Caenorhabditis elegans: one gene and its partners. The protein of the gene in region 2 interacts with the protein of the main gene of each other region in a pairwise test. Each region holds a gene or a part of one and is shown on either strand. Other genes may lie near its edges. The genes, in order: fozi-1, tbx-39, ceh-23 and irx-1.

Region 1 (7,486 bases), on a different chromosome or scaffold from region 2:
TCGCCAACTAAAAAAATCGTGCTAAATTATTTCTCTGGTGTTTGATTTTTCAAATTAATTTGATAAAAGTTAATACAGCCGAGATATCAGCGTCAAAGTAGAGCAGTAGGTTTCATACAAAAATTGCAAAAAATGCCTGTACAGCGAATATAATTATAAAACTATGTTTACAGTAATCCAGAGGCGCATGTGCCTCATTATTTATTCATAATGATTATAATAATAATGACAATGGCCACATGCATGATAATAACGGATCTCAAGGCTATCCTACTCGGGTTACTGTAGATTTATTCAACTGAGAAAAAAACTAGACATAAAATGTACAATTTCTTTCCTTAAAACTGGCGCACGCGGCGGCGGCAGTTCCATTGAAATAAGCATTCAAATTGGAACTGACTTTGTACAATGTACTAGGCTATACAATTCTCGAAGTAAGGGGAGTTGGCTCTACTTTTTCCAATTTCCATATACTTACAGTGTGAACGGTGGCTGCTTCAGTTTGATGTGTTTGTTGCAATGGAAAAGGGATCTGAAAAAAAGTGAAATGAAATGAATGGCACTGAGTTGTACAACTTGACGATTGGCAGGGAGAATTGCGACAAATAAGAAATACAATTTTTTATCGAGAATTTTGGAGTCGGACCCACACGTCAATAAGTGATTTTGAGAGTTGGCAGAATAACAGTAATTTGTAGCGAAATGAATTGAGGATTGTTATGAAGGTTTGATATTCAGAAATTTAAATGATGACAAAAATGGCTTAAGAATGTAAGACGTTTTCTTGGGGAACTGATTTTTTCAAAGCTTAAGCAACTTTCAACAGTAATAAAAATCAAACTCTTCAAAAATTATACAGTACATATATTTTTTAAGTCAACTCAACAGCTACATCTGTAGTTCAAACCAATAATGTAGAAACAGTTGTCCAAGCAACAAAACAATCACGACAAAATGAACAAAAATGTGAGCTTTTTCATGAAGCAAAGATACATTACTAGGCGTGATTGACAATCAGTCAGAAAAACGAAAGATTCATGGAGTAACTACAATACTAGTCATGCTCTACTCCCCAGTTTGTATTCAGAAGGCGGACGCGTCACAGATTCTGACTAAACTTGAGAGAAGTTGCCAATTGATTGAACAAAAAAAAAAGGAAATATGGGGATTTGAGATTTTAAAAGAAGTTGAAAGACTTTTTTCAGCTAAGGCTTAGGCTTAGGTTTAGGATTAGGCTTAGGGTTAGGCTTAGCTTAAGCTTATGCTTAGGTGCAGGTTTAGGATTAAGCTTAGGGATAGGCTTAGGCTCACCCAAACACATATTGCCAAAGTCCTATACACAACTCTCCCTGCACAGTTGCTAAATTTACACTGAATGCGCAATAGAGATGTTGCCAACGTGTGTGATTTTACACCATTTCAAATTTTACCAAGGCACGGCGCCTGGTGTGAGCTCACCAACTGACGCCCCTAGCTCCAAATAGTCAGAAGTTGGACGGCTACCTCCTTCAAATTCTATTTCATTTTTCAAAAACAATAATTGTTTTTCGGTTTTTTTCTTCTTGTTTAGACGTATAAGGAAGATGCGCATTTTAGAAAAAAATATAGAGACAAGTATCGTATTACCGAGAAATATTAATCATGTTTTTGAAAATGGGCGAGTGTTCACATCTTGAGAATAAGTTATTCGAAGAGAAGGGGCCTCCAATTTAACTTTTGAATTAGTTATTACAAGGAGGCAAAACATTGGATCTTCGAGTTTTTGTTTTGTTCACTACTTACAGGTAAAAGAAGATGACTAGATGAAGCTGATGAATAGTTGAGAGGTATCCTGAAAAACACAAAAAATAGGTACCGTAGGTGTAAAAGTAATGAGTTGGTAGCAAAAGCCGGCAGAGCCCAATTGGACATCAGGCGCCGCCCCTAAGTGGAGCTGAGTTGGCAGCACCACCATGATTCAAAAACAGGAGGAACAATAGGAGCGAGATATTGGAGGATGAAATTTACATATGTGTCAGTGATTAACAACACAAAAGTAGTTGATTAGCAAGTTAATATGGTATGAATAGAGCGTGTGATAGGCACATTTGTTTGCCGGAGGAATAATTAGTTTCATAACTTTTGAAAAATTTTGCAGTTAACTCGGTAGATGGGTGAGATGGAAAGTACATAGTATTAAATTGGAATATAGATAATTTTAAGATAGTTTAGGTCAATAGAAATATTTTATTTCCCAGAAATATGAAGCAGTGAAACCAATGAGATACTTCATAAATTTTATTATTTATGTTTTTTTAAAGGAATAGTACGAAAATTTGAAATCTTCAAAATAAACCGAAATGTAACTTTTCAAAGTGAAGTAATGTAAGGAAATACAGTAACTTTTTGGAAATTTCTCTCAATCATGGTTAGAAAATTTAAAATTCTCACATTATTTTGGCGTGAAAATTTTAAGTTTAGACTTCATAAAGACTACAGTACTCATTGCAACTGAGTGTGAAATTATCAAGCAAAATGAGAGTTTATATGGGTGCGAGATTCGCGGAGTTATGAGCCGTAAAACAACTGTGAAATGAGTGAAAGTTGATGGACGACTCGAGAGATCATTAAAAGTTTGATGACCTCTCAAAAAATGGGAAGTTAATGTCGAAAAAGTGGGGGAAGAAGGGAGGAGACTCGATGATTTTTGAAGAATAATTTCATTGAAATTTGTGAAATCTTCGATGAAGCTGGATAAAATTTAAAGGGCTTCAATCTTCTTTTTAACCAAAAAAAATATAGAAGACCCGACACCAACTTGATACGTTGATAGGTTTTCAATTTCGTATGAGATTTTCAAAATTTTTGAATCCAAGGCTTAACTGAATAGGATAAGGCCATCGTTGTTAAATATTAGTCGCGATGAAAACTGACTAAGTAGGAGCTTAGCCGATTAGAAATTGTGTCGACACGTGGATATGTCCATGAGGTCAAAGTTGAAAATTCGAAATGAGGAAGTAGCTAGTACGAAATAGCAGAGTAAATTTTGACTTTGTTACTAGAAACTTAATGTTTAAAAAATTAGAGCCTTCAGTTTTAGAAATCTAAAAAATATGTTTTTTTGTGGTTGACTTCCATCCATCATACTCGTTGCATTTTTGAAGTGCTTTTTGAAGTTTGAGTTAAAAATAATTTTAGATTATAAAAATGTTCAATCAAATCTACAATTCCTCACAAAAACAGTCATAAAACCTGCTCAACTTTTTCTAGATTATTTTTTTACTGGACTTAAATCAGACGATAAAGCTAAGAAGATCATATGCTTATCAAAGATCCAGTAACACTATCGAAAAAACTCTTCGTTAACATTTGAAAAATACATTCAAAATTGCCGTTAAAAATTAAAAAAAAAATTTCGAATACGAAACCTCCACCAGAAAACAATGGGAATAACAAATCAGAGATGAGATACGGTGCGATTTTGCTGGAATAAAAACTCAACAAACAAAACAAGTTCAACTTATGGTAATCTGGTCGGGTGGATCTAGGATAAAGCTTAAAATGAAAATCTTTGGCACGATGCGGTTTTTGGAAAAAAATAATTAAATTGAAATTCATGAACTTTCAGGGGGACAAGGTAAAACTGAAAATTACGTTTTCTAGCTTCTAAAAAATGTTATAATTTGAGTGGCTTATATCTCGATTTTCTTAGGTTTTTATCAAAAAATGTTCCACTATCAAAATATAGAAAAAATATTTTGCACGTATTTTGTCAATTGACAGTTGTTTGATGAAACCATTTGGAGCCAAAACTGTCAAAGTTGAGCAAGGTCTAAGACAAGTCTTTTTTAGAGAAATATGGTATTCAAAAAGTTGAGTAATCATTTTAATTTTCAATTTTTACGCAAAGTTACTTGCACCTACCGTAAACTTAGATACAGAAACCTATTATCCAGAAAATACTTATTTTTTTGGAACAAATGAAACTACATATAGAAAATGTAAAAGTATTCCATGGAAAAAAGACAAAAGTTTTGAAAATTCAGGTGAGAAAAATGATCGAGAACGGTGAACGAAGCTGTCGATAAAGCCGAAAAGCTGAGAAAGTTTAGAGAAAATGGAGGGAAAGCGGCGAATCGTTGGGAAACTAAGGGTCCACTCTTTCCTGGTTGCCACGCCTCTTTCGTCACTTTCACCTTTGCGCCCCTGGTGCCTGCACCAAAACAACTGCCATCGAAGTAGATGGAGGTGGAGAGAGCGACGGATATATGTACAAAAGAAACATCAACGAACACTAGGGAGGGCTAAAAACAAGATTTTTTCATTCGATGGCGGATACTTGTACCAGAAAAACGAAGGAAAGAGAAGCATCAGCGAAAGTTTCTGTTACTTTATAGTAATTGGGTTGATGATGGCAAAAGAAGCTTCTGAAGCTTCAGAAGGTGAAAAGCAAAACAAGAAAACAACATAACAAGAAACTAGAAATTTCAAATCTACCACAGGCGTTGGCCTAAGTCCAAATGTGGCTCTAAGGGGGTGTCCATCTCTATGCTCTCGATATGTCAAATAAAGAGAATAAGAAGGTTGAGCACAGGAGCTCCTACTCCCGTTTTCGCACATTTCTCAATACGATCACACTCCTCACCTTTTCTTTGTGTCTATGTCATTGTGTGTACAGGCGCAGGCGGCCGGAGACGAATCCCCACCAGCGTCTTCCGCTGATTGCGAACGGTTTCAGAGAGTGAAGTGGTCAGTTGGCTGGAGCACGTTGGAGAAGAGGTTGTAGGATGCTCTGAAAATACAAATTAAGGAGAGATGAGATTTTTTGAAAACGGGGGAGAAGGGTTACGGTAGCTTCTAACATTGAAGATTTAGGTTTCTGAAAAACAAAAGTTTTAAATTTAGAGCCAAGTAAACTTTTCAAAAAATGTTTTAAAATGGTTTTTTTTGCAATCACTCATAATTTCAGATGTTGAACATGAAAATGTTCATTTCTGCATTGCTTCTATACAAGGCAGGCTCGGTTTCAAAACATGGCGCCTGCCTGAAAACTGGCTTCCTCACACCATCTTCGCGCATTTTTCTGAACTTTTTTTTAAATTAAGAAATGACGTTTTGGCGCCTACATGAACGCTCTAAACTTCTGCAACAAATTTTTGAAATTCAAATTTTTTTAAAAATATTTTCATTTGAACATTTCTTTTTTACCATTTTACCTAATCGTCAACTGAAAATTTCAAAAAATCTAAACAATTTACGAAGATTTTGTTTTTCTACCGTAACCTATTTTTTATACCGTAGCCTATTTACTCTAAACTTTTCTAGCTGAAATAAAACTGAAAAAATCTTAAAAAATTGTTCAAATACAGAGAACAGCGAAAAAAACCACCCTGTGGAGAGCATTTCAAGCAAAAATAAAATAAAAATCTGTCACAAAGCTACTATAACAAGTGACAAATTGTGAAAAATCTGGATATTATAATGGATAAAATAAGCTATCAAAAGTTGTAAACCACCATTGGATGATCCCTGGATGTTCTCAAAATCTCCATTTTTCAATCACATTTTTCATAATCTTATAGCATATAGAGCTTTGATGTTAAAAATAGTAGGAAGTTACGGTATGAGCTCTCTGGATGTTTGGAAATGCTCAAAAAAGAAATCGAGATCATTTTGGATCAAGATCATTGTTTTCTTTTCTCAACCTCCAGGCGCATTGACTCTTCTCCCATACAAGGTCGAGAGGTGGCTCCCGTTGTGTTCCGAGTTAAGCTTGCACACACCTCTCACTCTTGCTTGCAATCTATATATGTGTTTGCGTATCGTTTTCTTCTCGGGGACGCCAAGTCCTTTTTTGCGAAACAAACAGGAGACTATAACGACGTGTGAGCCTGCTGCTGTTGCGATGAGAAGAGCAAAATGGGATCGCGGGGGAATAATGCGACAATCAACGCGAAAAGTTGCGCGCGCTCATCTTCAAGCCTCGCTAAGCCCATGGACTCGATGACAGACACCAAAAAAAGCTCGATGAATGGGGGAAAAAGAAAAGGTGAATGAAAAAAAAAACAACAAACGGGAAAACAAAAATGAATAGGTGTGAACTTTGAGCAGGTAAAGATTCTAGAGAAACTAAGAAAACAGTGGGAAAATTTTCGGAAAATAAATTTGAAAACTGTAGTCTGTAGAAGTCCGATTCTTTCGAAGAAATGTAAATAATTTCAAAAGGTGAAAGTTCTTATTTTTAAAGTTTTAAATCAAGAAAACTCATAGCGCAAGCTTTAGCTTTTTTCTGGTATGTTGAAAGACACTGAAAATGTTTCAAGTCTGGCAGGGATAATACGGTATTCCAAGGTAGTGCTACCCACAAAAATCTCAAGAAAATAAACCATTCATTGTAATCTCGAAAAAGTCAGCCTAAAACCTAAATTCTAGTTCTGAAAATCTCCAAAATCCTAGACACATATCCACATCTGGTTTGAACTTCACGCAATCATTGTTCACTTTCACGAGACGCAGACCACTTCTCTCCCCCTTCTTCTATCCCACCCATTGAGCTTATTTTTTGTTTGTATAAGTTTGTTTGTTATCCGTGTGAATTACACGAAAAGACGGATTAAAATCAGATGGTAATGAGAAATAGATACGTATGGAATCTGGAAAGCTACCGTACTCTAAAATGAGCATTTGACAACTGTGTTCTCATACAGGCGGCGAACACGAAACGGCATAAATTGTCGGCGCTGGGCGATGACCATGTGCCGAGTGTTTTGGAAAAAACTTTAGCGGAACGATTAAACAAACTTTTTGGGAGGAACTAACGAGTGCCCGCATGATGCACTTGGATTACTGTATAATTCGAAATTTGAAAAAAAAAAGTGGAACACTGAGTGGACTTAGGTTTAGGGAAAATTTAATTCCGGATTTTTTTCTCAGGAAATTTTGAATTTTTCTGAAGATTTTTTAAAATTAAATTTACTAGTCTGGGTCTTTCGGCGAAAAAATGTATAGTCTACAGTCTTTTGGGCACCAAAAAGTGGCCACCAACAATCAAAAGTTTTTGTCATAAATGTCTTTCTCGTGGCGGGACCCATCTGAACTTTAAATAATGTTTCAGAAAATTACAAAACTGCGATGTTGTTCCCTCCAAAAAATGTTTCCAAATCATTGCAAAGACGTAGATTAAGCTGTAAGATGTTTAGAGTTAGGACTATTCGAAAAATTGTGAAATCACAAAAAGCAAAATTTTGGAAAAAAATAGCTGGCACTGTAGTAGATCAAACATATGATTCTTTAAAACTAACCCCGAAGCAAAAAGTTATTTCCGATTACATCAACCTAGGAAATTCCGTACTTCATAAAAAAAGTATCAATACTCATTTCCTTTCCATTTGAACTTATGCGTGAAATTCCTTAGTGAATAAGTGAAACCTATAATTGTTCAATGTCAGACCCGAACATTTTGAAATGCTTCATGAACTATCTGTGTTTTGAATGTGTTATCTACGCA
Region 2 (6,603 bases):
ATGAAACAGAAATTGCTGTTTTGGATATCCTTCAAGTTGCCTCACAATCAGAAAATTATAATGAGTCCACGAATTCTGGAAGGCTTCAAAATGAGATCAGTTCCTCTATTCACCAGTTCCCATCAACTTCCTATCAAAATCAATATCCACATGCGTATCCAACAGTCAATACTCCACCAATTTATGCTCAGCAATTTCCAGCTCCATTTGATGAAAAGCAAAATCAATTCTATCCAAAAACTGATGAAAATCTGGCGCCAAACTGTGCTCAAGATGCTTCAAGTTTGCCAAACTTTGCGATGAATCAAAAGGCTTCTTTTGCAAATCAATATCCATATCATCCATATTACCATCAATATTCTCAGCTTGATCATGGATCTCCATATCAGTACATGAATAACTCCATCAATTCCGACTCCTCTTTCCAGTCATCATTTTCTACTGAAAATTCGTATTTTGATGACAATGGAAACCCAATTCATTATCCCTATTATCCTTACAAATAATTTGTATCTTCATTTCTGTATGAGTACCTCCTTATCATGTTTTCCAGTGAGTTTCACGGTTTTTTTTTCCATATTTCCCCTCTAAAAACCAACTAACACTTTCCTGTGAATACATTAGACTTTTTTTTTCAATTTTTACTTATACTGTTTTATGTGGTTCTCAATTTCTGATCTATTTTCTTTATTTTCAATTTTTACGTATCTGATTTCCATTTCTATTAATAAAGTTGAACACTTTTATTTTGCAAAAATTGCTAAAAATGCTAAAATTAATATTTACGCACTCTGTTTTTACCAGGAAAAAAATTCGACAAAATAATCGACAGTAAGTTTTCATTTTGACCAATTACTTAAAACTCGAAACAGTAGTGTTCTCCAAATTTACGTTCATTTTCAGAATATCGAGTATTTTCAATTTCAAAATTATGTTCCCCACAACAAAACGTACTTTTTGAAATTATTTGTAGAAATATACAAACATTCTCGAGCAGAAATTGTTTCCTCAATTATTTTTTCATGGTTTCAAAAAAATAAATAATTCTACGAAAGGAAGATTGAGGTTTTCTAATTCTAAAAGTTGGTTGACTCTCTGGCGGAACATTTGTCTGCTTCAAGTTGTTGATATATTTTCATATAGTTTGAGTACAATTTGATATTTACTCACTGGAAAATTGACTCATAAAGAACTGAGAATGAAACAGTAAAATAAGTCAGAAAAAAATTACAAAATAAAACAAAATGAAAGAAGGCAAGAAACTCACAGGAAACTTTGAATTTTTATTATTATTTTTTATTATTTTTATTATCAACAGTAAGTTTTTATGCAATCCAATTATTTACAACTTGATACAGTTTTTTTTTAATACAATTTTTTAAATAACCAGAATAGTTTCAATTTCAAAAAATAATATTCTCCACAAAAAAAATAATTTAGCAGCAAAAAAAGTTTATATTTTTCATTGTTCAAAAAATAAACTTTGAAAGTGAGGGAATTTAATGTTCAAGTACCAAAAAATAAATAAATCAACGACAGGAAAAGTCGTCTGCTTTACATAGTTGGTATATTTCCTGTTTTTTTTTGTAAAGTTACGTATCTGCGGCCCACAATATAATCGAAAAATTTGAAAAATTTCAAATTTTAATATCCGAAATTCGGAATAATTTGACACGCAAAAATGATGTGCTTATGTTTCTATTCCACACTTGATTCATCAAAATTGAAACATTAAAATAAAAAAAAAAGCAAACTTTTTTGCTAAGCAGCTCCATAATAGGCTTTCCATCCGGGCGAGGTGTGTCGGGGGCGCCCTTCGCCCGCCTCTTTCCCGCGCCCCCCTCACGCCCGCCCTGACACCCGGTATGCAATTTGTCGTCGCGGTGTTTGCAGAAATGAAACAAATTGGACGCGCATTTAGAAAACTTTGCCATCACGTTATAATATTAAATTGTAATTTTGGCAATTATTTTTATTCAATAGTGGATTAATAGTGCAATGTTTAATTTTGAAAATGAATAATGTATGAATTTCTGAGCCCTTTTATCATAACGGTAAAGCAAGATTAGTGTTAAAAGTTTATTAAAAGAAAATTGATTTACAAATTATTGCGACTAGAAACAGAAAATTAGGTGAGAAATAATTTACAGAATTAAACAAAATGAGCTAAAGTCAATATGGACAGAGAAGTCAAAACAATCACAGGAAAATTTGAAAAAAATAGGAAACAAGGGTTAGTAATGAAGAAGTGACAATTAATTGCTAGAATAATATGGATAGTGGATAGGATTTCCATTTTCATCGAAATATGAATTTTCAGCAGAAAATGATGACTGGAAAGAGGAATCAGAATAAATAGAGTTATTCATGGAATAGTTGAGATGTGGAAACTGTTGGCTGGATTGAAAATATGGATAATAATAGGGATAGGAACCATATGGATATTGATTTGGAAATTGAGAGACTGGGTAATCTGGAGCATTCTGATGAATATTTTCCTTTTGATTGATCGCAAATTGTGGTACACTTGAAAGATACTGAACATTTTTTGCAACCCTATTTTGTTTAGTTTTCGGATCGAATTGATTGTGGATTTCATCAAATAGAGCTGTGAATTGCTGAACATAAATTGGTGGAGTATTGACTGTTGGATACGCATGTGGATATTGATTTTGATAGGAAGTTGATGGGAACTGGTGAATAGAGGAACTGATCTCATTTTGAAGCCTTCCAGAATTCGTGGACTCATTATAATTTTCTGATTGTGAGGCAACTTGAAGGATATCCGAAACAGCAATTTCTGTTTCATTTTTTGATCGTTTTGATGTTCGCTCTTCACTCGAATCAGTATTCTTTCTCTTGTTTCCCCCATCCAATCTATTTCCATATGTTGAGTTCTTGTGAAATTTAGATTTCCAATTTCCGATCGATTCTTGATTGTATACTGTGACTGGGAAAAATTGGGCTACTTCCATTCTCATAGAATGATTTGCAGATTCAACATTCGTGATATTTTTGACAGTGAGGACTGGAACATACTTGTGCATTGTTTCCACGAAAAACTGAAATAAAAATTAATTATAATATTATTTAGTGAATTAAAAATTCAAACTAACCACATTATCCTTGTCCATGAATTTTTTGTGATTCGTAATCCTGACTGTATCAAATTTAATAGTTTCCTTCATCAATTCCTTTCCAAGTTTTGTTCCATCTGGATGTAAGAAATATTTGATTTCTTGTTCTTTTTTCGTTGCATGACGGACTTTTGAAGGTCCCCATTTTCCATTTCGGTATCCATATCTGAAATTAAGATTTGTCTTTAATGGTGACTTTGAAAATCATTAAAAAATACCTGATATTGTCATATTTTTCAATTGAAAGAAGTACAACATATCTCGATTTCTCTTCCAATCCAGTAATATTGAAGTTGAGTTCGGGAAAAATTAGTTTCGGCCCTTTATTATTCACAATCATTTCCATATTTGGATACCATTGTTTCCATCGGTCTTCTTCAGCCATTGTAACATTGAATTGAGCTTGTGAAAACATTATTGAATCTGAATATTGAAAAAAAATCAACATATATTAATAGGAAGTATGAAAGAAAAAAAACGGTATACTAAACAAAATATTATAATGAATGATCCTCTCTATCCCTTTAATGTTTTAGACCCCACTTAGTGGGCGGAGCCTGAGCACTGGGTTGAGTCAACCAATTATCGATTGATTGTATTCACTTGCTCTCTTAGAATTGCTCAACAAAAACTGTTTGAAACTGGAAATCGTACTTTATATAGTGATGTCCTTTTAATCACTATATTGAAACAGTAACTTTTTGAGTGCTGCCGCATTTGATAAAAACGCCCGAGTTACTAATTTAAAATAAAAATACTAAAACCCGATCCAAAGCAAATTATTTAAGGATATCCACATTTAGACTTTTATTTTGTAGTGTCAATTTTCTGCGTGCTTCTCTATTCCAGATTACCTTTTCACATATTAATATTTCATGTCAAAGTTGTCTATTCCAAAACATTACGTTACAGTTCCACTGGTGACCTATATTCTTCCCAATTGTCATTCACATAATGACAATAGGTGCAAGGTATCCCCCACCTTAACATCCACCACTTTACAACTCTACTTCCTTCTCCTTGACATATCATTCCTTTTCGATCGATTTCCGGACACACACCTGACAATCCAAATGGTTGTAAACTTTATGTACTGGGAAAATATATTTAGTCTTTTGATAGATAATAAGCAGAAAAGTGAGAAAGTGTATACTTTTACAAAATTGAAAATATAGAAAATGATAGGTTTACATTTCATTGCAAACGTTATTTTAATAACAAAATTTCAGACAGAAAAGGATTTATTTGAAAAGTTTCTATTTTGGATGAAAATTCTACTCCGCTCTGCAAAACACTATGTCAGTATTAGTAAATATGTATTAGACATCACATTCTTAAAGAGAGAATTAATAAGCTGTAATTAAAAAAAAAATAAAAATTGCTGTTTCAACATTGTGATACATTTGCTGCATTAATGAGAGTAAGACAATTTGTTTGGTGGCCTTATTGATGTTAGTGAAATATGCCACATTTATTCTCGAAAATATGAATTAATTAATTAAAATCCCAACAGAAGTTACTTTTTTCTTGAATATTTTTCTATCGGTAAGAATATAGCTTCGGTTTACAATTTACTGAGATATATATGTACATAACTAAACTATTGAGCTGACAAATTCAAAAATATCCAAAAACAATCAAGGAATACAGGTTGAACGGATCATTGAGCATATTATGCATGTTGACATTAAAATTAAAATTGTAATACAAAAGTATTTACGGAGTGTTTTAAATTACTATAGTGAAACACGCAATATGTAGATAAACAATTTTGATAAAGTTAAAGACAGAATTTTTTTGAGTAGCCATTCTATTTAATTCCATGTGCATATAATTGTATTTTTTTCCGAAAAATTAACTAATGCTGAAATTAAAATTATGTTTCAATGTCCTGATAACTTTGTCACCATGTTTTGCAATTATTATGTTTTTCTCCCAACAATATTTTCTGATTGGAACTGGAATCAAAAAATCATTTTTAAAATTCATATTAATATCAACAACAAGTTATGCGTTTAGATTTACCAACGTTTAGAAACAGTAAAAATTATCAGAACTTTACAAAAATTCTTTTCGAGCAACTTCTTTATTCTAATCAAGTACTACTTCATTCATCACAATGGAATATTAATTGATAACAATTCCAGATTTAAGTCTCCATTTTCCTTCTTCTCCTTCACGCAATAGATAGAAATCAGCAATATTGGTTCTTGGCCCAACTACATGTGAAACATTGAACTTGATTTCATTTTTTCCTTGAGTAAAAATCGATGATTTGAGGATCAATGGCTCGGGATTCGGCTTGGTAAGGTAGCTTTCCACGAATAGAGCTGAAAAAATTAAACAATCATTAGAGTATTTAGTAGTTGAACATTCTAAAATTCACTATGAAAAACTACTTGGTAACCTGGAATTTTCAACAAAAAAATTGCTCCTAATGTTTCACAAACTGCTTATATGACCTCACTTTATGGAATAACCATTCCCTTTCCGACGTAGAATATAGTCATATAAAACTCACCTTTGGTAAAAATCCTCCCACGAACATTAAAATTGAAAGTATCCATAAAACAGTCAGCAAATGCACTTTTATTCGATGATTGAGCATCATTCTCCATATTTTGAATGAAATCTCGCACGATTTCCATGGAACCATCATCCACTGGAGCACTGGCAAAGAGGCCCATTTTGGCGGACAAGGAGAGTGTTGTTTTATGAAAACTGAAGTGAATTGATTGAGTAAAGTGTCGTGGTCAGAAGCCACGTGATTGGAAGTTCCAGAGCATCACGGGTTTACGTGAAAATTTAAAAAAAATTAACGCGAATTTTTGTTCATAAACAACTTTTTTCCTTTTCCTTCTGAAGCGGACAATTTTTCAATTAAAATTTCAAAATTATTATTTAATTTCACAGAGGCCGTGCTTAATGGTTATAATAAAAACGTTGGCCTTTTGTCACAAAGCTGAAACATACTATTTTTAATATTAACAGTACAGTATCTTTTTTATGTCATTAACTATTATTATCATTACCTATATATAAAAAAATAGTGTCCGTTTGTTAAGAAGTGACGTCATAGCTTACAAAGGCAAGGCGTTTTCGGCTGTTGGAGGGATATCAGTTTGGGGTTAGTAGGGGATATGGGCGGGGTACTGTAGTAGTACTGTAGGAGTACTGTAGGAGTACGGTAGGATTACTGTAGTTTAGGAAAAATTGTGTTTTTGTCTTTTGAAGAGATATAGGTTTGGACTGAAAATTTGAATTTCCCGCCAAAATTTTTTCACTGAAAATTTGAATTTCCCGCCAAAATTTTTTTCACTGAAAGTTTGAATTTCCCGCCAAATTTTTTTTTCACTGAAAATTTGAATTTCCCGCCCAAATTTTTTCACTGAAAATTTGAATTTCCCGCCCAAATTTTTTCACTGAAAATTTGAATTTCCCGCCAAAATTTTTTTCCACTGAAAAT
Region 3 (7,123 bases), on a different chromosome or scaffold from region 2:
CTGAAACAGAACGAGGCACAGATGACAATTTTGACGGCTACCGGTGGAGAGTTGAAGGAAAAGCACAAGAAGATTCGAGGGCTTTTGGATGAAGCAAAGGCAAATGGTAAGGGTTTAAGCTGTAGAAGGAATAAGACTAAAAAAGTAATTTAAAGGTCAACAAAAAGAACTTGAAGAGTTGTCAAAGGAAATTGAAAACGTGGAAACACAGACCAGGATTTGGCTCAATGAGCTTCACGATGTACACGATAAGCGAGTTGATATTGATGTGAGTTAAACATTGGGTACTGACTTATAAACGAAAAAATCGTAAAATTCCAAAATACTAAATGATATAAGAAAGCTGCCGGGTGGAACCGGATGGAACATTCGGTAGCTGAAATATTTGTTCATTAGTATCCAAAATGAAGCAGTATTTGATTCCAACTGTATACGCCTAGAAGAAACTTAATATAATTTTAGTGCCAAATGATTCGATTAGGATCTGAAGTGAAGAAAAACGAGACCTATGTTCAATTGGCGTGCATTGATATCGAAAGAATGGAGCTTCGTCATGAAATCAGGTAGGTGCCCGAAATCTACATTAATTTTACATTAATCAAAATGCTTGGCTTTTTATGTACATATGTAGAATAGTTTTGTTGCAGATGGAAGAAATTCCTGCAAAACAATCCGTGCAAGTAATATCTACTGCAGCAATCCTTCTTCATGACCATTCGAGGCATTCCACGTCTTCTCAACTTATCCTCGTTCCAAAAATCAAAGTCCTTTGTTCTGTGTTCTTCGAATAATTGGATAACATAGTTGATTATAATGTTTTTTTAAAATTAAACCTAGATCAATGTTTAAAAAATATTCAAATCAACTCAACATATTCCAATTCTGTAACTAGTATCCCCGTGCTTAAACTCTTCCACCACCGCGTCCTGTAAAAGTAGCTGGTTTCCCATTCCGTTGTTTCAATAGTGATATAGTGTTGGCCACTTCCTTTTTTATCCACTTTTCCTGTTTTAGGCCAGAAATCTACGAGATCTTCTCTTTCTTTTTTATTTTTTTTGTTTGTTTTTTCTTCATTCAATTAAACTTAATCCCATTTTTCCCTGTCCCTGTCTTTCATTAAAATATATACATGGCTTGAGGTTTGTTTCCAATTTTTGTCATCTCTTCTCGGCTCATACTTTCTTATGTTTCAGAAGACCCAGACATCTTTCAGTCTCCCCGTTTTGTTTCTTTTTTTATTTTCAAAAATCCTCACAGCAAATTTTCTTTCTCATATTTTTAATTTCTTTTTCATTCTCTTCTAAAATATTACTCAAAATCAGTCAATAAATGTTCAGTTGGTTTTTTTTTGGTTTTTAAACCATCATGAAATGGCAAAATCATGGCGGAACATGGAGCTAAAACTTGAAAATTTTACACTCAAATTGTCACTTTGAACCGTCCAAGAGGCAATTGAAAGCTATTTTTTTCTAAAACACTTGTCTAAGAGAATCTGTATAATTTTTAAAATTTGTTGAAATGTAGAATTCCAAAGACAAGATGTTTCTCAAACCAATTTTTGGTTGGTGGCATAACTTGAATTTTATCAGAAATTTCGATTAAACACACAATTTTTGGCAACTTATCACACAGACTTTATTTATAAGTTGTTCAATGTGGAAAATTACGGTTTGTTCAGTGGAATTTACTGTTTTTTTTTCAAAAGTTGGTCGTATGCAAAATTAAATATATCCACAAAACTTCAAGGACTCGCTAAATTGCGTATCTTCAAACTGGCGTATCTGGAAAAATACACGTCTAAAAACCAAATGTTCAACTAACAAAGTGATCAGAAATATTTTACCTCTTGTTCGCAATACTTTTTTTGTAAAATATTGATTATTTATTGAGTTAGAAAAAATTGAAGCCATTCGCTAAGCTTTCTTGTAAGATTTCACATTTTCTTTGAAGCACCGAACCATTTCCTGATAACGTAACCTATCAAGTAAGTTCACATAAAACTTTATTTGTTTAATGCTTTATAATCAAGAATATACACATTTTTTCTAATTATTTTCTAAAACAGAATATGGCAGGAAATAAACAAGTAAACACGAAAAAAAAAATTAAATTAATTCAGAACTTTTACATCATCTTCATCTTCTTCATCATCTTCCTCTTCATCTTTTCCAATTTCTTCAGATTTTTCTTCTAACGTCGTGCTCTGTTGCTCCTCTTGTTGTTTCCTACGATGTTTGCTTCTCCGGTTTTGAAACCAAATTCTAACTTGAGAAGGTGATAGGCCAAGGCGTTGAGCAAGATTTTCTCGTTCTGCTCCGACTACGTACATTTGTCCTTTAAACATATCTTCCAGTTGTTGAGTTTGTGTTGTACCGTAGATTGTTCTGAAAACTTTGAATTTGTTTGATCTTTAGTTTAGAATCTTAAAACAATCTTCTTCAGCTTCTTACTGTGGGAACCAACAATTTCTTTTCAATTCGGCACGTATGAATTATCCCACGAACTTCGTTTTGCGTCAAAGTTATATTTTAGATTGATTAAGAATTTCTAAAGATAAATAAATTATATTTTTAAAAACTTCAAGTCAGAGGCCAAAAAACTTCCTTTCGGAAATGAAGTAAATGTTTATTTCGTCAAAGGATTTGATAAAGCTTATAAAATCTTAAATGAGTCACCTGATGGTTCTATGATTCGTTGACAATTTTTCTGACTTTTTTTATGAAAGTTTTCTGAAACTGGTTTGTTCAATTTTTGAGGCGAGAAGCCAGTATACAAGTATATTGTGCTCTTCTTCTCGAAAAAAAACGCCACAGCTTCAAAGAAATGTAAATGAAAATTTGTCAAAAAGCTCTTTTCTGAAAAGCTGCAGATTTTGTGCTAAAGATTGATAAAAAGTTGATAGAGTATGCTACAAAGATGTGTCATTTTGCTGGTTTATTCTCCTTACCTTGCTTTTCTATGATTTGCTGCTCTCCGACTATGTGCCATACTATTCATAGCCAAGGGAACAGCTCCCATTAACGCCGCATCTAATGATCCTTGAATTCCTGAAGTTCCAGCAGCTGGAACATGTTGATAATAACATCCAGGCATTCCGGGTAGTTGAGAGGTTGGAGGCATCAATTGTGCAAGTTGTTCACGTAGCAGAACCTCCATATTTGTTTCTGAATAACGTCGTCGTTCTGGAGAACCCGTAGATGGGACTTGAAGCGTGACGGTTGCTTGAGAGGATGCAGGAGGTTCTGGGCAAGAAGCCCGACGGCTTGTTGTTGCAAAAAGTGCATTTGCAAGAGCTTCGACAGCAGATGGATTGGCTTGCAGGAGAGATGGATTTGGAATAAAAGGCTGAAAATACAAAAGGGGTTAAGAGGTTTTTTGAAAATACGAAAATCATTCACCTGTGCTGGAATTGTTGGCAGTATTAAAGAATTGGCTGGTTGTGATGGTGGGAACAAGTTGACACGTGGAATTGTAGCCGAGAAGGGAAGATTCGGTGAAAGCATTCCAGTTGATGTTGAAGGTATACAGGATGTGGGACAGGCTTGTAAAGCAGCAATTGTTTGAAGAACGTCTGAATTCATAAAATGATATGTCAGCCATACAGCTTCTCATCTTTCTCGATTTTTGAATAAGTCTAACAAATCTTATCATCATCATTCCCGAAATCAGCTTATCAGCAATGAAAATCGGATGATTGTCGTGTTTGACAGATGGTTTTCAGTCATGAAATCATTAAATGGTGTGGGGGAATGCGATTTGGATATTAAGGAGCTTTGTGTAAGAGCACATTTCAAAATGGATTTGATGTTACCTGTTAGAGATGATGAAGACACAGGCAGCGGCGTTGAAACTGGCAAAGTTTGGAATGGAAGATGGGTGTCCATCTAGAAAATAAAGATTAATCAAAAAATGTAAAAATGTTGAAAAATGTAAAGAGGTAAAAAATTAAAAGTTTGGCAATTGTAGAACTTACTGTTCTAAGTTTATCAGATCAAGTTGGACAAAAACAGATTCAAACCATAAATTATCTAAAATTACTGGGTGCAATAAAATGCTGATACCCCTGAATGGTAAATTATAGAAACTAAAGTTTTCACTATTGCAGACAAATTCAAAAACGTGTGAGTCTGGGAATATGAAAATACACTGCTTCTCTCCAATTACCAAGGGATGTGAACGAATGATCAAAGCTCAAAATTTACCACTCATTAGTAGATTATAGTAGTCATAGTAGTAGTAAAAGTAATAATAGTAGTCAGTGTGTTGTGCAGGTATATCAGTGTAGATATTATTAAATGAGTCAGACGAAACAAAAATGAAAAGGATTAATTTTTAAAGATCAGTGTTTCCAGGAAATGTTGAAATTGCTAATCGGATTATGAAAGATGAATGGAATCAGATGGGAAGACGTAGATAATGAATGTCTGGAGGATTTTATTTAATCACATTTTTGCATATCAGAAATGAAAAAGTGAGAATTTAAAATAAAAATCTGAAACTTAATTTTCCTTCTCGATTTCTGCAGCTGCTCCAATTTACTACAACCTATTAGATTATTTTCAACAATTTGAGTTTTAAGTGTAAAATTTTTAATTGGTGAAAATTTCGAAAGTTTCAAATATAAAATTGAGAGCAATCGAATTTTGTGTCTAACATATTTCTGTTAGTCAGATATCAAAGCTCACAGGCTAATGTGCTTTAAAGTTTAAATATGATCGAACGTTATACATATTTTACATGCAAATGGAAGCCAATTATTTGTCATTTTCAAGGAAGTCTCAATGTTTGGAAAAAAGAAGATCAAAAATGAAACTAATTTTGAGGTTTTATGGGAATAGCCATGAACATAAATTGCTCTTAATAACGTCTAATACCACAAAAAATTAAAACACTTGAAACTGCTTAAATTTAAAAGATTGTACCACTGTTCGTTTGTAAGATAACTGCGAATCTATAGAAAAAAAAATCAAACAAATTATTTATCAGTTGACAATTTTTCGATAGAACGAACAAAAACTACGACAAACGCTGCCAAAGTTTAAGAGTAAAGTGCATTACTACTAGTGGAAATACGGTACTTGTTTTGAAGGTTAACATAACTATGGTATCTCAAGGTTTGTTATTTTTAATGCAATTTCTAAGAATTCATACTTTTCTCCACTGAAACACATGTTAAAAACTTGCCACTATCATATTTTGAACAATTATGTAGGTACCTAAACCTGATGTAACTAACTTTCTGAGAATCAATACAGAAACATTAAATACCTACCACTTTCCTTCAAAAAAAACTAAGAATATGATTTGTGGGTTTTCTGACCCGAAGCCGGAATTATGAAACTTCTGATTCAAATTCTTCGCAGGTCACATGTTTCATTTAAATCAGAAGGTCGGAGCTAGAAATTGGAAAATATCTAAACAAATAAAAAATACAAATATTTTCAAAGATTATGACACAAAAAATGCACCCAATCATAACTATTTGATCACATCACAGCTTTAGAAAACAATCTTTTATATATCCTCAATTTTTAAGGAGAGCCCGCCCTCTTAGCCTTTTCTAGCAAAAAAAGCGTAGATGCTTAAAAACGGAAAAGGCGGAGCTATGTAGTTTATCACCTTCTGATGATGATAGCTTTGACGATGATTATAGTGATAAAGATCATTTGTTCATCGAATAATCGCTTTGGGCGGGGGGAGTGAGAGGATTATCCGGATTGAGCCGAGTGGATTCGATAATTAGTTGGAGCGTCTTAAAACTTTTTTGACGTGATTGGGAAAAAAAGTCACAAGTGGATAAAGAATTGGATGATCTGAAAGGATTAAAAATTATTCGAAATGATGACGTGTAAATGTGCAATGAGCTATGTACTGTACATATGCATGAATCCTTAAAATTCAGATTTAAGTTTCAAAGTTGTAAAACCATCAAATATTGGTTTTTTATATTTGAATTCAAAACCAGGGGTGTGGCAAATCCACAAAAGTGCCCACTTTGGTATGATAATTTTCTGTAAATGTAAAAATATCTGATTGATTCGAAAATATTGTTTTAAGAACCTCGAACAATTCGCGATTGAATAACAAATTTCCGTCAGTTTTTCAGATTTTTTTGGGTTTTTCAACAATTACCTTATATTAGGCAATTGCCGGCAATGCAAGTTTTTTTAAAAAGAATACTTTAATATTTATTTTTGATTTTAAAATGTATATTATAAACTATAGAATTTTTCGGTGGGGACATTTTTTGAGTATTTTCATGTTGATTTTGGGTTCTTTTTTCCGAATACCACAGTTTTTTTTTCAATTTTTTCTACGAAACTTGTGTGAAAGCCATTTTTTATAAAATTCTAAACTCTTCTCAATCTTTGGTGGCATTTCATTTTTTGATTAAATTCTTTTTAACCTACGTAGATATTACGCAAAAAGTTTTTAAACGCCTAATTTATTATCAAATCTTTTCTCCGCTCTAGTAGATCAAGACCTAATCGAATTTTTCCAACAAAGTGTGCTTGCAAACATAATTTTTTCTTCATCTAGATTTTTGCTCTCAAATCCCAATTTTCCACCTGCCGCCACTACTTTTATGTCTAAATACACACACCCAAATAAAAACACACTCTCACACTAGTAACTGAATAATTTTCTGATTCAATCCAATATTACGATTGAGACCTATGAGATCATGGCTTACTAAAGGAAAAACTACGAACATTCACCTGTTTTTTTCTCTAATTTTACTCCATTTATTCATATTACGAGTGACGAAATAATTAGTTTTAATGAACAAATAATTCGGGTGTTTTTTAGAAAAATGTATCTTTGGAAAATTGAAAAGTTCGGAAACTGTTCGTCGGAAAAATATTTTCAAAGCTTTATTTGAGAACTGTCAGGCTGCTCTAGAATGCGGCGAACTTCTTTAAAATTATTTAATAGAAACTCCCAGGCACGTAGGCAAAGTTCTATGTATGTAAATCCACTCTTAATAAATTCGGACTAGAATGAATGGGAACAGTCAAAATACTAATAGTAAGAGTCCAGTATCCTGAAAAAATTGCGCTAATTATATGCCAAGTTTGTGAGATTTCTATGGAAAAAGTTTGAGACTCCCACGCCACGTCAT
Region 4 (9,403 bases), on a different chromosome or scaffold from region 2:
AGGACGGTTATCCATAGTTGACTGGCTTTGACCATTTTGATGAGGTTTTCGGCTTCGAGACCTTTTTCGATCTTTCTCAATACCATCCCGGTGAACATCCTGAAAATTTAAAATTAGTAAAAATTAAATTAAGCGGGTAACTTACATATCGGTCAACGTTTGACATTTTTGAGATGTTTTTGAACAAATAATGAAAAAGAAAGAATGGTGAAAGGATTTCTTGAAAAATATTTTATGTGCTCAAATGCGCAGGATGTATCCATAGAGACAATTCACTTGCTCATGCTTTTCCAAATTGTATAGTCATGAATAATGGAAAAAAGAAAGAAACTTTGAAATGTTGAAGGATAAAAGCAAATACAGCATAGAAAAATACCACATTTTCAGGTATTTCAGGTATTGATTTCTACAAGTTTAATTGATAATAGCAAGTGTTTAAAACAGTTAACTAAAGATTTGAAAACATTTTGAGAAGATTTTTTAATTTTCAAAGATGCAAAATGAGATTCCGGTATTGTGCCTAAATATTTTTTCTTTTTTTTTTGTATTTTGGAATAATGCGATTATTTCAAACGATTTAAAGCACATTCTGCCTTTATTGCATTATGTTATCTGAAATTAGAATCCACGATTAAAAATTATATTTTTTGAAACAGTTCTAAAATGTGGAACATTAAATATAAAGGTGGCAAATTTGGTTTTGTCTCATTTCCAAATTTTCCAAGAATCCAGACAACACAAATTCATTGTTTTCTAAGCTTCACCGATGTTTGTTTAGACGTCGTTGTCGTATCTCATTTTCAATTAGGCGTTTACATGGGTCACCGAGATGTGGAAAAATAAAGAGAAAATGCATGTAATTCCTTGTTTTTAGAGATATGGTGTGTGTGTGTGTGTCTAATGAATGAAATCTGCTGTTTTTGTTTTCACTGATTCATTTTTCACATTAATTTGAAACTACGCTTTGTAAATAGTAGGTCAAAACATTTAACAAGACAATACATAATCTGGAATTTTTTTATCAAGTGGAAATTTATTTATTTTATCAGATTTTTTAAGAATCATGATATTTCTTTTTAAAAAAAGCTTCCAAAATGTACATATGTCTACATTTACACATCCCCTAAATTTCAAGAGGTCGGCAAAAAACAGTAATGGGAAAATAAACTAAAAAGACTTCAATTGAATTTTTAAGTGGAAATTTAAAAAAAAAACGCTAAAACGTCTAAATATCATTGTGAACCTTTTCAGAAATTTTTATTTACAGCCAAAATGTGGTGATAACTTAGTTTTACCAATCATAATTTGACAGTCGACCAAAAAAAATATATCATCAACCAGTTTTATACGTTTTTAATTTTGTTTCTATAACCATTTGTGTTTTAAAAATTCTATGTTTTTGAACATGAAGCAATGCTCAAAATTACTTTAAAAGTGCACGTTCTTGATAACCGAAATGTTGTCACTAATTCAGCCTGCAATTCTTTGAAATGGTTGCAGTATTTTGTGCAATTAAATGTATATCCATTTTCATGATTTTTTGTTAGCTTAAAATATATTCAAGAAATAAATATTAAACCTTCTTCATTTTCTAAATTATGCGTGCAGGTTGTTGTATCTTTCTCACAAAAAACTGTAAATTGTCAAAGAAATGAGATGGGATTGTAAGAAAAGTGGGTTTGCGTGAAGAGATTTGAAGCGAATTGGTGGGAAAAAGCAAGAAAAAAAGAAAATTGTTTCTAAAGTACTCCAATTATTGGCGGGAAATTGAGAAAACCGATCATAAGCTCAAAAACTAGATGCATCCTGTGAAAAATTGTGTGGAATTGAAATAATAATAATGTTAATAATGTGAGAAAAAACTGGGAGAAATTGGGGGAAAAAATAGAGAAAGAGAGACAAAAAATTCATAGTCATGGAATTCATATAAAGTTTAAAAGAACATAAAAAAGCAAATGAATGAGAAAGAAAAAGCCTATATGGTGCTACAGTAACCGAATGAAATTTTTGATGGGATGTGAATATTTGGGAGACAATACTGTACTGTACATAGAGAGAGACCAAAATAATCGAAACTTAAATGGGATGGAGAAAAAAATGAAATTCAAAGACCCGCTGTTTATATCATATTTTCTCGATTTCAGAGTTCTTAGTGGAGGAGGTGAAACTTTGAGAGAGTACAATATTCATTTAAAAAAATTAAACTTAATAAGCTGGGGTTTCTACTCTTGGTGGGACCGTGGAGACGACGTTGGAGAAGATGCTGGAGATGGCGTCGACGTCTCCGCTTGAGAGTTCAGACCTGAAATTATTTATTCATTAAAATCAAGGCTTAAAAATTGTTCAAAGATTTTTTAAATATTGTATATTGCAATAAACCTAGGCACCAAGTCAATTAAGCTATATTTCAAAAGTTTTTGAAATTTTTAGTTTTTGAAAGTTTTAAGATTGAGTTGTGTGAAAAATGATCTGATTTTTTGAAAATTATTAAAATCTCCAAAAAGCTTTCAGAATGTTTTTTGCATCTAAACAACCTTAAAATCACTAAAATAATGTAAAATCCGGATTTAGAGCAGCTTGACATGCTTGTATTTGAAGGAATGCTCTGAGAAATTTCAGTTCAACGTTTCAAATAAGACTAGGCTTTCTAGTTTTTCCCCATATTGGTCAACTAGAATTGCTTTTACATGTTCAATAAGTTATAAGAAAGTGTTTCCCATCAACTATACGAACGGATCAAATCGGCAATTTATCATTCGGTGACTTGACTCCGGGAGCAGCGCTCCTTTTTTGGACAAAAACTGAGTGACGAAGAACACGCGGTTTAGAAAAACGAGCACACTAATCCGTGGGGTCAATGAGGAGACACTTACTTCAGTTTAAGCCCTTTTTCGTTGCCTTTGACGTTTCGAACAAAATTATTACATAGAAAAGAACTCCTCTTTCTGAGCTAAAACATTTGAAAAGGATCTAGAACTTAAGTGTAGACCCTCTTTTGTTAATGCCTATCTAGAAGCTGTAGCTACTGAACTTTCCCCTTATAATGTGTATCAGAAAACATACACCTATTATCAGTAAATATGGGATGATTAGTGCATTAAATAGCAAAAAAACTGAGCGTCACGACAGGATAACAACTTTAAAATTAAGAGGATTACGTTTCGACTTTTCTTGTTCATGTACAAGCACGCACGGTGTTCAACTAGCTGTCAATCATTCGGAATACCCAAAAAAAGAATGATAAGAAAAAGCAGACAGGTTGCCATGTAACAAAATGTAAGAAAAGTGTATTCACCTGCTCACCTCACCTGCTTCATTTGGAGGAGTTGTTTGTGGTGCCAAAAGTGCAAGTTGTTGCCCTTGAGCAGCTTGTTGGGCTAGAAGTTGGAACATGAATGGGTGCATTGTGTGACGGAACAAAGTTGGATCCAATCGTGCCATTACTTCCATTTGTTTTTTCATTGCGTTTTGGAACAAGCTTCCCGTTAATAGATTTTCGTCTGATGATGGTGGAGAATCCTAAATAAAAAGATGTTTGCTAGGGGTTACCATTATTCATCATCTTGAACTAAATTACTTCACTTTAACAACTTTATGAAAAATATAAGCTGCCAAAAGGCACTGCTGTATGCTTCAATGTATCTTCCAAGTACAGTAACCCATGCCTAAACTTTACAATATGACCCCCTGATCTCCCATCAATTCCTTAATGTACTTTATGAAAATGTATAAAACCATCATTCAATCATGTTTGTTGTTAAAGCGGCACAGTTTTGTCGGCTGCTTCACACTCACCTCACAAGTTTGCACATACACACATACAAATGATTCATACTAGTTTACATCTCTATAAAATGTGCAGAACAAGATGAAGGGAGAGGAGGACTCTTTATTTGCCCCTACTAAACATATAATAGTTTTTAAGTCCATTTCGTAAAACTGTTAGAATAAGAGGGAAGATGGGGAAAACTATAAAATCTGTACAATGTATTTTATGATCTAAACTTTTTTGCTCTCACCTTCTTTGATGAATCGTCATCTGAAGTGACATCGGCAATCGACCACATTTTTGGTTTACGCTTCGGACTTTCAGAATCATCATTTGGAATTGGGGATACTAGTTCTTTCTTCGGTGTTGTCAACTCATCTGATCCTCCAGATCCTCCCGAAGGCGTTGGTGATGCTAGATGTGGCTTTCCGAATAGGGATTCTCCTTTTCTTTCGGAATTTATGGATGTTGAGCTTGATGGACGGTTCATGTCATCATCATCGTCGTCTTCATCGTCATCACAACCATCGCCTCGTCGATTTTGTGGTGACCAAGTCATCTTGTTCTCCTTCTTCAGTCGTCTTCTGGCGTTAGCAAACCATGTCGAGACCTGTAATTAAAAATATAAATTTCAAGCTTCGGCTTTGTTTTTCGGGCTAGAGTTTATTTTAATAAAATAACTTCAAAGTTTTGGTTCAAACAATTTTAAAATCTAATTTTTGGCGCCAAGGTTGTGTGTTGTTGGTCTATTGCAACAAAATCAAACAAGTAGTAGCCCTATTTGGTTTGAAACATTTCTCGTATTGTGTAAAGAATGTCTCTCGAAACACATTAATTAAGCGGGGTACGAGGTGTCATCATCATCGCTTATCGCCTCTGTACATCTTTTGTTTCTCGCCCCTCTTTTTTTGGCATCGGTCAAAAAAGGAGACATTTGCCCCCGGGGTTTGATGGCCGGTGAGTGGCTAATGTTACAATAACACTGCGGGAAACACTGTCTACTACATTTTACAACAATATTTTTTGTGGTATTTGTAATTGATGACTAGAGGCGGCTCTAAAATCCCGTGTGAGCTAATAAATTGAGCAAATATTGTGGAGTAAATTACGAGATTACGGTTGGTAATAGGCTATTACGGCTATTAAATCATTTCACAGTGTTGCATTTACTAATTGTTGTCAAAACAAGAAATAATACAACATACCTGTGTAAGTGTCATTCCTGTACCAACTGCCAACATAACTTTATCAGCTTTTGATGGATATGGATTCTTTCTATGAGAATGAAGCCAATCTTTGAGTGGTGCAGTTGCTTCTCGTGTTGCATTTCTTTTCTTGATTCCATCTAAACCATATGGATGATATAAACGATGAGCATCACTGAAGAACATGGGCATCGGTCCTGGCCCTCCACCTAATAACATTTCTGGTTTCAGATCTGCTGGAATTCCATGTGGAAACATCGGAACTCCGGGGAAGCCAGCAAGAGTTGCTTGTTGAGCGGCGGCGGCGGCTTGAGCTTGAGCAGCGAGAACTTGAGCCATGGCAGGATGGAAATGAAATTGACCTAAAAGGTTTGGTGGCAGAATTCCGCGAAGTGCATCCGGAGCTGAAGTGGGTGGAGCAGGAGTCGTTGTTTGTGGTGTTGTGGGCTCTTCCATTTTGACCTGGAAATGGATTTACTTTTCTAGTCAGGTGAAGTGAAGGTATCCAAACGAATAAATCTGACATTTGGCATCTAAATTTTTTGGAAGGAAGTATTTTGAGACTGTGTTCAAATGTTGTCTAATCTAAGATTTATGTAAAAATTGGTAGGAATCGAAAACGAAAACCTTGTCCAAGCTTTGACAACTTCTCAACTGCAATTTTCTATATTAGACTTGCACCCCCCTCTTCCTTCACTTTGACAGTTTATATCTCAGTTCTTTGTGGTTTTATTAAAAAACTTCAAACGGACAATTTACTTGCAAAATAATTTTCTATGTTTTGGTTGTATAACACTTTTTGATAAAGCTGAAGGCAACCGAGATATAAACCGCCAAGCAGTGGCGGTGCAAGGTTAACATGGCAATTGGAAAGAGCAGGAAGTTGACTCCAAGTGTCAAGAAGGACAAAAATGAAATAAATAAATGTAAGAACACTACTTGAGAATATAGAAATTATAATTTAGCTTATTAAACTTATCGCTTAAAAACTGACCTGATTGGCAATAGGAATCATTGTGATGGTGTAGTAGAAGTAGATGTGTTGATCTCAGTACAAGTGCAGAAACAATAGTTGATAAGTATGATTATTTATGATCTGAAGAACACATTGATATCAGTTATAATTCCAGAGCAGTTTTTTGTTGAAAAAGATAGACAGAGAGAGTGAGAGAGAGGCAGAGAGGCGACGAAATCAAGAGGGAGCAAAGGAGGAGCGATTCAGTGATAAGCATAGAAGAGAAAGAGAAAAGGTTTGATTGATAATTCTTGAAGAAATTGAGATGATGTAGAACTATGTGGGACCTTATGTTCAACAACTTGTTGAGCAATCTCGATTTTCTGCAGATGCCCGCCCGGGGCCGTGTGTGTCTCTCTCTCTCTCTCAAGTCCCGCCCACCATCCAATAGACATGGAAGCCACAGGGCGGGGCCTGGAGAGTAGGGAAAGAAATTGAAGAAGCGCAAAAAACACGTGCGAACACGTAGATTTAACAAGATAAACCGGAGAAATTCACGAAGAGAAACGGAAAAGAATCGGAGTAAAGAGAAGTAGAAGAAGATGATGATGAAGGATACAAGAATCGAACGGAAAGAAAACAAATTGATGATATGGCAACTAAAAGAGATTGAAAGATAAACAATTAACCGTTCCAGCTAATGATTGTAAGAATGATGATGGTTTTGATATCTTACTATTTCATTGTTTAGTGTTATTATTTCCAAGTTTGATTCTAGAATTGTTATTTTTGTGCAAAAAAAATCTTTCGAACCTAATACCTCTCTACCTCTACCAATTATCAAGTTTGGGAATGAAAATTAAGAAATACAAGAACCAAAAATCTCAATAAATGTATTCACAAGGACGAAGAGCAAACAAGTTGTAAATTTGCTGGCTGGCTCACGAATGGAAACTGAAAATTGAAGCAAATAACGGGAAGAGGAAGCTTTGGAAGGATCATTGCATAGAGTTTAATCCGAAATATTGGCAGGATGAAGAGAAAAAAAGTATAAACATTTGAAAGTTAAAAAGTAAAACGACGGAAAATCTAGAGAGTACTATCAAATGACCCGAACACACAATGGCGCCACGAACAAAAAAAGGACAAAGGAGAAGAAGCTGAAATCAGTGAACTTAAGTCAAGAATGATACATCGTAGAAGCAATTAGGTAATGGTCAGAACGGTTTGTAGGGGGACAAGAATTGAGAGAATAGAAGTTTAAAATGGCATGTCTCTTGTTGTCCGAAGCGGGGTGTAAAGAAGTGTAGCTGCTGGATAGGGGGCGCCGGCGAGAGTAAGTGGCCAACGATGGCGCTGATGACGATGATGAAGAAAAAGAAAATGGAGAAGAAAAAGGTAAAAAAAGAGGACACGGTGTAATACATTTACTATTGTGTCAGTTATTGTGTTAACATCTCTCTTTGGGTCATTCGATCATTTAGTTATTACAACATGTAACAACAACACATATATAGTAACATAAAGTTGCAACAAAAAAAGTTCAATGGCGGAAGTTTGTACTAATACAGGAAGATGTAGGTACATATGAGCCAAACAAGACAAAAAGGTGTATGGTAGGGAGATTGATGTCAAACGATGATGAGAAAGCGATGGAGGAGGAGTCATTGGGCGGAGTCAATCGCCGGGGGAGGAACACGGGAGGTAGGAGGGTGTAGACATGAGGTCGCGGCACAATTTATGAGGAGCTGGAGCCAGAAGATGATGAAGCTGTGGAATTGAAGTAGAAGAAGCAACTAGTTAATGGGTTTTGGTGCTTTCCAGAGAGCGGTGTTGTTTTTTGTGAAAACACTGCTCACTTTTTTGTTAAATACATGGAATACGGTAGTGGTTGCAGAAAGGAAATACTTGGAGGTAATTAACGGAAAAGTTAAGCGTTCCGTTTAATCGAAAAAAGCGGGAGAAGAGTTGAATTCGACGGTGAAGAAGAAGTTGAATGTACCCAAGAGATTGAAGAACATTTGTTGATTTTTAAGAACTTCCAAAATAGTGGTTTTCCTAACTCATAAATGGGGTATTTTTCAACGAAGAAACTTGAAATGATCCAAACACGCAAGGCTTTTCCCTTTTAAAAGTTTAAAAGCTTCAAGCTAAAAACATTTGGTATAATTTTTAGGGATTTTCTTTGCCGCCGTTGTTTTTTATAGCTTTGTCACTAAAAAAATTTAAAGACCGTTAATCCAGAAAAATCAAGAGCAAAACCTGCTATCATAAACTTTTCATCGCGTTTTTTTATGAAAATGAAAAGTTTCTATATTGAATTTACTACTTGAATACCGAGCATTCGGATTATTACTTTGTTTTAACCAAGAGCAGATATAGAAAAATTGTCTGCCAGTATACAACTCTATTAAAGTTGCAATAATCTCTATGATACCCATAATATAAGTACGAGAGTGTTTTTGAATACATTGCCATATCTATAATTACAGTTCTTATTCTAACAGCTGGTAGAGACACCTTCTTGCCATTGTACCAAAACACATCGATCAACTCATACATCATGACACGTGTCTACAAAAAGGGGCATGAACTGGAAGAACTTTAGCAGGTGGGATATTTCAGATGGTACAACAATATATCTTAATCTGATCTTGCTATATAATATGGAAATTTATGTCATGTTATATACGTGGAACAGTAACCCAACTGTTAACATCGTCAATACCTGTAGTAGGAATTGATGAGATAAGACTGATACGCGGGACGATATATATTCATAAAAGTTGGTATTTACGAGAGGGAGAACAATCTAATATCACATTGTTTTTGCGCAAAGGAACATGAATTGCCGTTGTCGAAAAACGATGTATGGAGCCGAGGGGCGCAAAAAAAGTGAAATTGTGTGTTTTGTGTATGTTTCCTGTACACGAAGAGCGCGAGGAAAGAAATGTTCAAACACTTGACAATCCGTGTTAACGATATGTTTGTCTCAGATTATCGACGCTTAACACAGTCAGAGTGATGGGAAAGTGAGCATTATCGTTCGCTCGTTGGCACCACAACTTGTATTAGATGATCAAACTACAGTAATTGAGCACAAAAAGTGTTCTGTACCAATTGAAAATTTCAAACTAAAAATTATGGAAAATGATTCGGATGATTCAAATCTGCTTTGATGTCATTATCAACCGGAAAAATCGAAATGATTGTGTCCGTTGACGCAGCTCACAGGAAATGTGCACTTGCACAATGCGTGTTTCCGGCAGTAATGGTGGTGTAGATATTGAGTTTATATCCAGGTAATATAATTTCCGAAATAGATATTTGACATTTAATCACTAAATTTCCGCTTCATATATTTTTTCTGCAGGGAAATGATGTTTCAGAAAGCTCTATTAAATTGATGGTGAAATTTTTGAAAATAGAAAGAATTAAAAATTTTTTTTCAGAATTATAATTTATAAATCTAAA

What was found.
Region 1: the proteins of tbx-39 (region 2) and fozi-1 interact in a two-hybrid assay, tested with the Caenorhabditis elegans proteins (one large-scale study listed by BioGRID).
Region 3: the proteins of tbx-39 (region 2) and ceh-23 interact in a two-hybrid assay, tested with the Caenorhabditis elegans proteins (one large-scale study listed by BioGRID).
Region 4: the proteins of tbx-39 (region 2) and irx-1 interact in a two-hybrid assay, tested with the Caenorhabditis elegans proteins (one large-scale study listed by BioGRID).

Annotation. Positions count from the first base shown.
Region 1 is NC_003281.10:9,279,072-9,286,557, reverse strand, and holds the start of fozi-1 (Formin-homology and zinc finger domains protein 1), read right to left. Parts: upstream 4,778-7,486; 5' UTR 4,625-4,777; intron 1-4,624. UniProt on the Caenorhabditis elegans protein: Acts redundantly with hlh-1 to promote body wall muscle cell and coelomocyte specification in postembryonic mesoderm progenitors, probably through suppression of sem-2.
Region 2 is NC_003282.8:15,320,842-15,327,444, reverse strand, and holds tbx-39 (Putative T-box protein 39), read right to left. Parts: upstream 3,553-6,603; coding exon 3,356-3,552; intron 3,304-3,355; coding exon 3,117-3,303; intron 3,063-3,116; coding exon 2,256-3,062; downstream 1-2,255. Other genes in the region: tbx-40 (Putative T-box protein 40), read left to right, coding at 1-506; Y73F8A.15 (DUF38 domain-containing protein), read right to left, coding at 5,265-5,467, 5,659-5,824.
Region 3 is NC_003281.10:7,836,355-7,843,477, reverse strand, and holds ceh-23 (Homeobox protein ceh-23), read right to left. Parts: upstream 3,887-7,123; 5' UTR 3,885-3,886; coding exon 3,812-3,884; intron 3,572-3,811; coding exon 3,399-3,571; intron 3,346-3,398; coding exon 2,948-3,345; intron 2,385-2,947; coding exon 2,111-2,384; 3' UTR 1,987-2,110; downstream 1-1,986. Other genes in the region: ZK652.8 (uncharacterized protein), read left to right, coding at 1-106, 156-268, 463-563, 648-684. UniProt on the Caenorhabditis elegans protein: Probable transcription factor. Required for differentiation of AIY interneurons, acting downstream of LIM/homeobox protein ttx-3. Modulates gene expression, acting downstream of AMP kinase aak-2/AMPK signaling. Modulates lifespan.
Region 4 is NC_003279.8:9,534,897-9,544,299, forward strand, and holds irx-1 (Putative iroquois-class homeodomain protein irx-1), read right to left. Parts: upstream 6,071-9,403; 5' UTR 5,990-6,070; coding exon 5,969-5,989; intron 5,437-5,968; coding exon 4,975-5,436; intron 4,775-4,974; exon of another isoform or gene 4,635-4,774; intron 4,380-4,634; coding exon 4,020-4,379; intron 3,520-4,019; coding exon 3,309-3,519; intron 2,303-3,308; coding exon 2,223-2,302; 3' UTR 1,569-2,222; downstream 1-1,568. Other genes in the region: C41G7.7 (uncharacterized protein), read right to left, coding at 1-99, 146-166.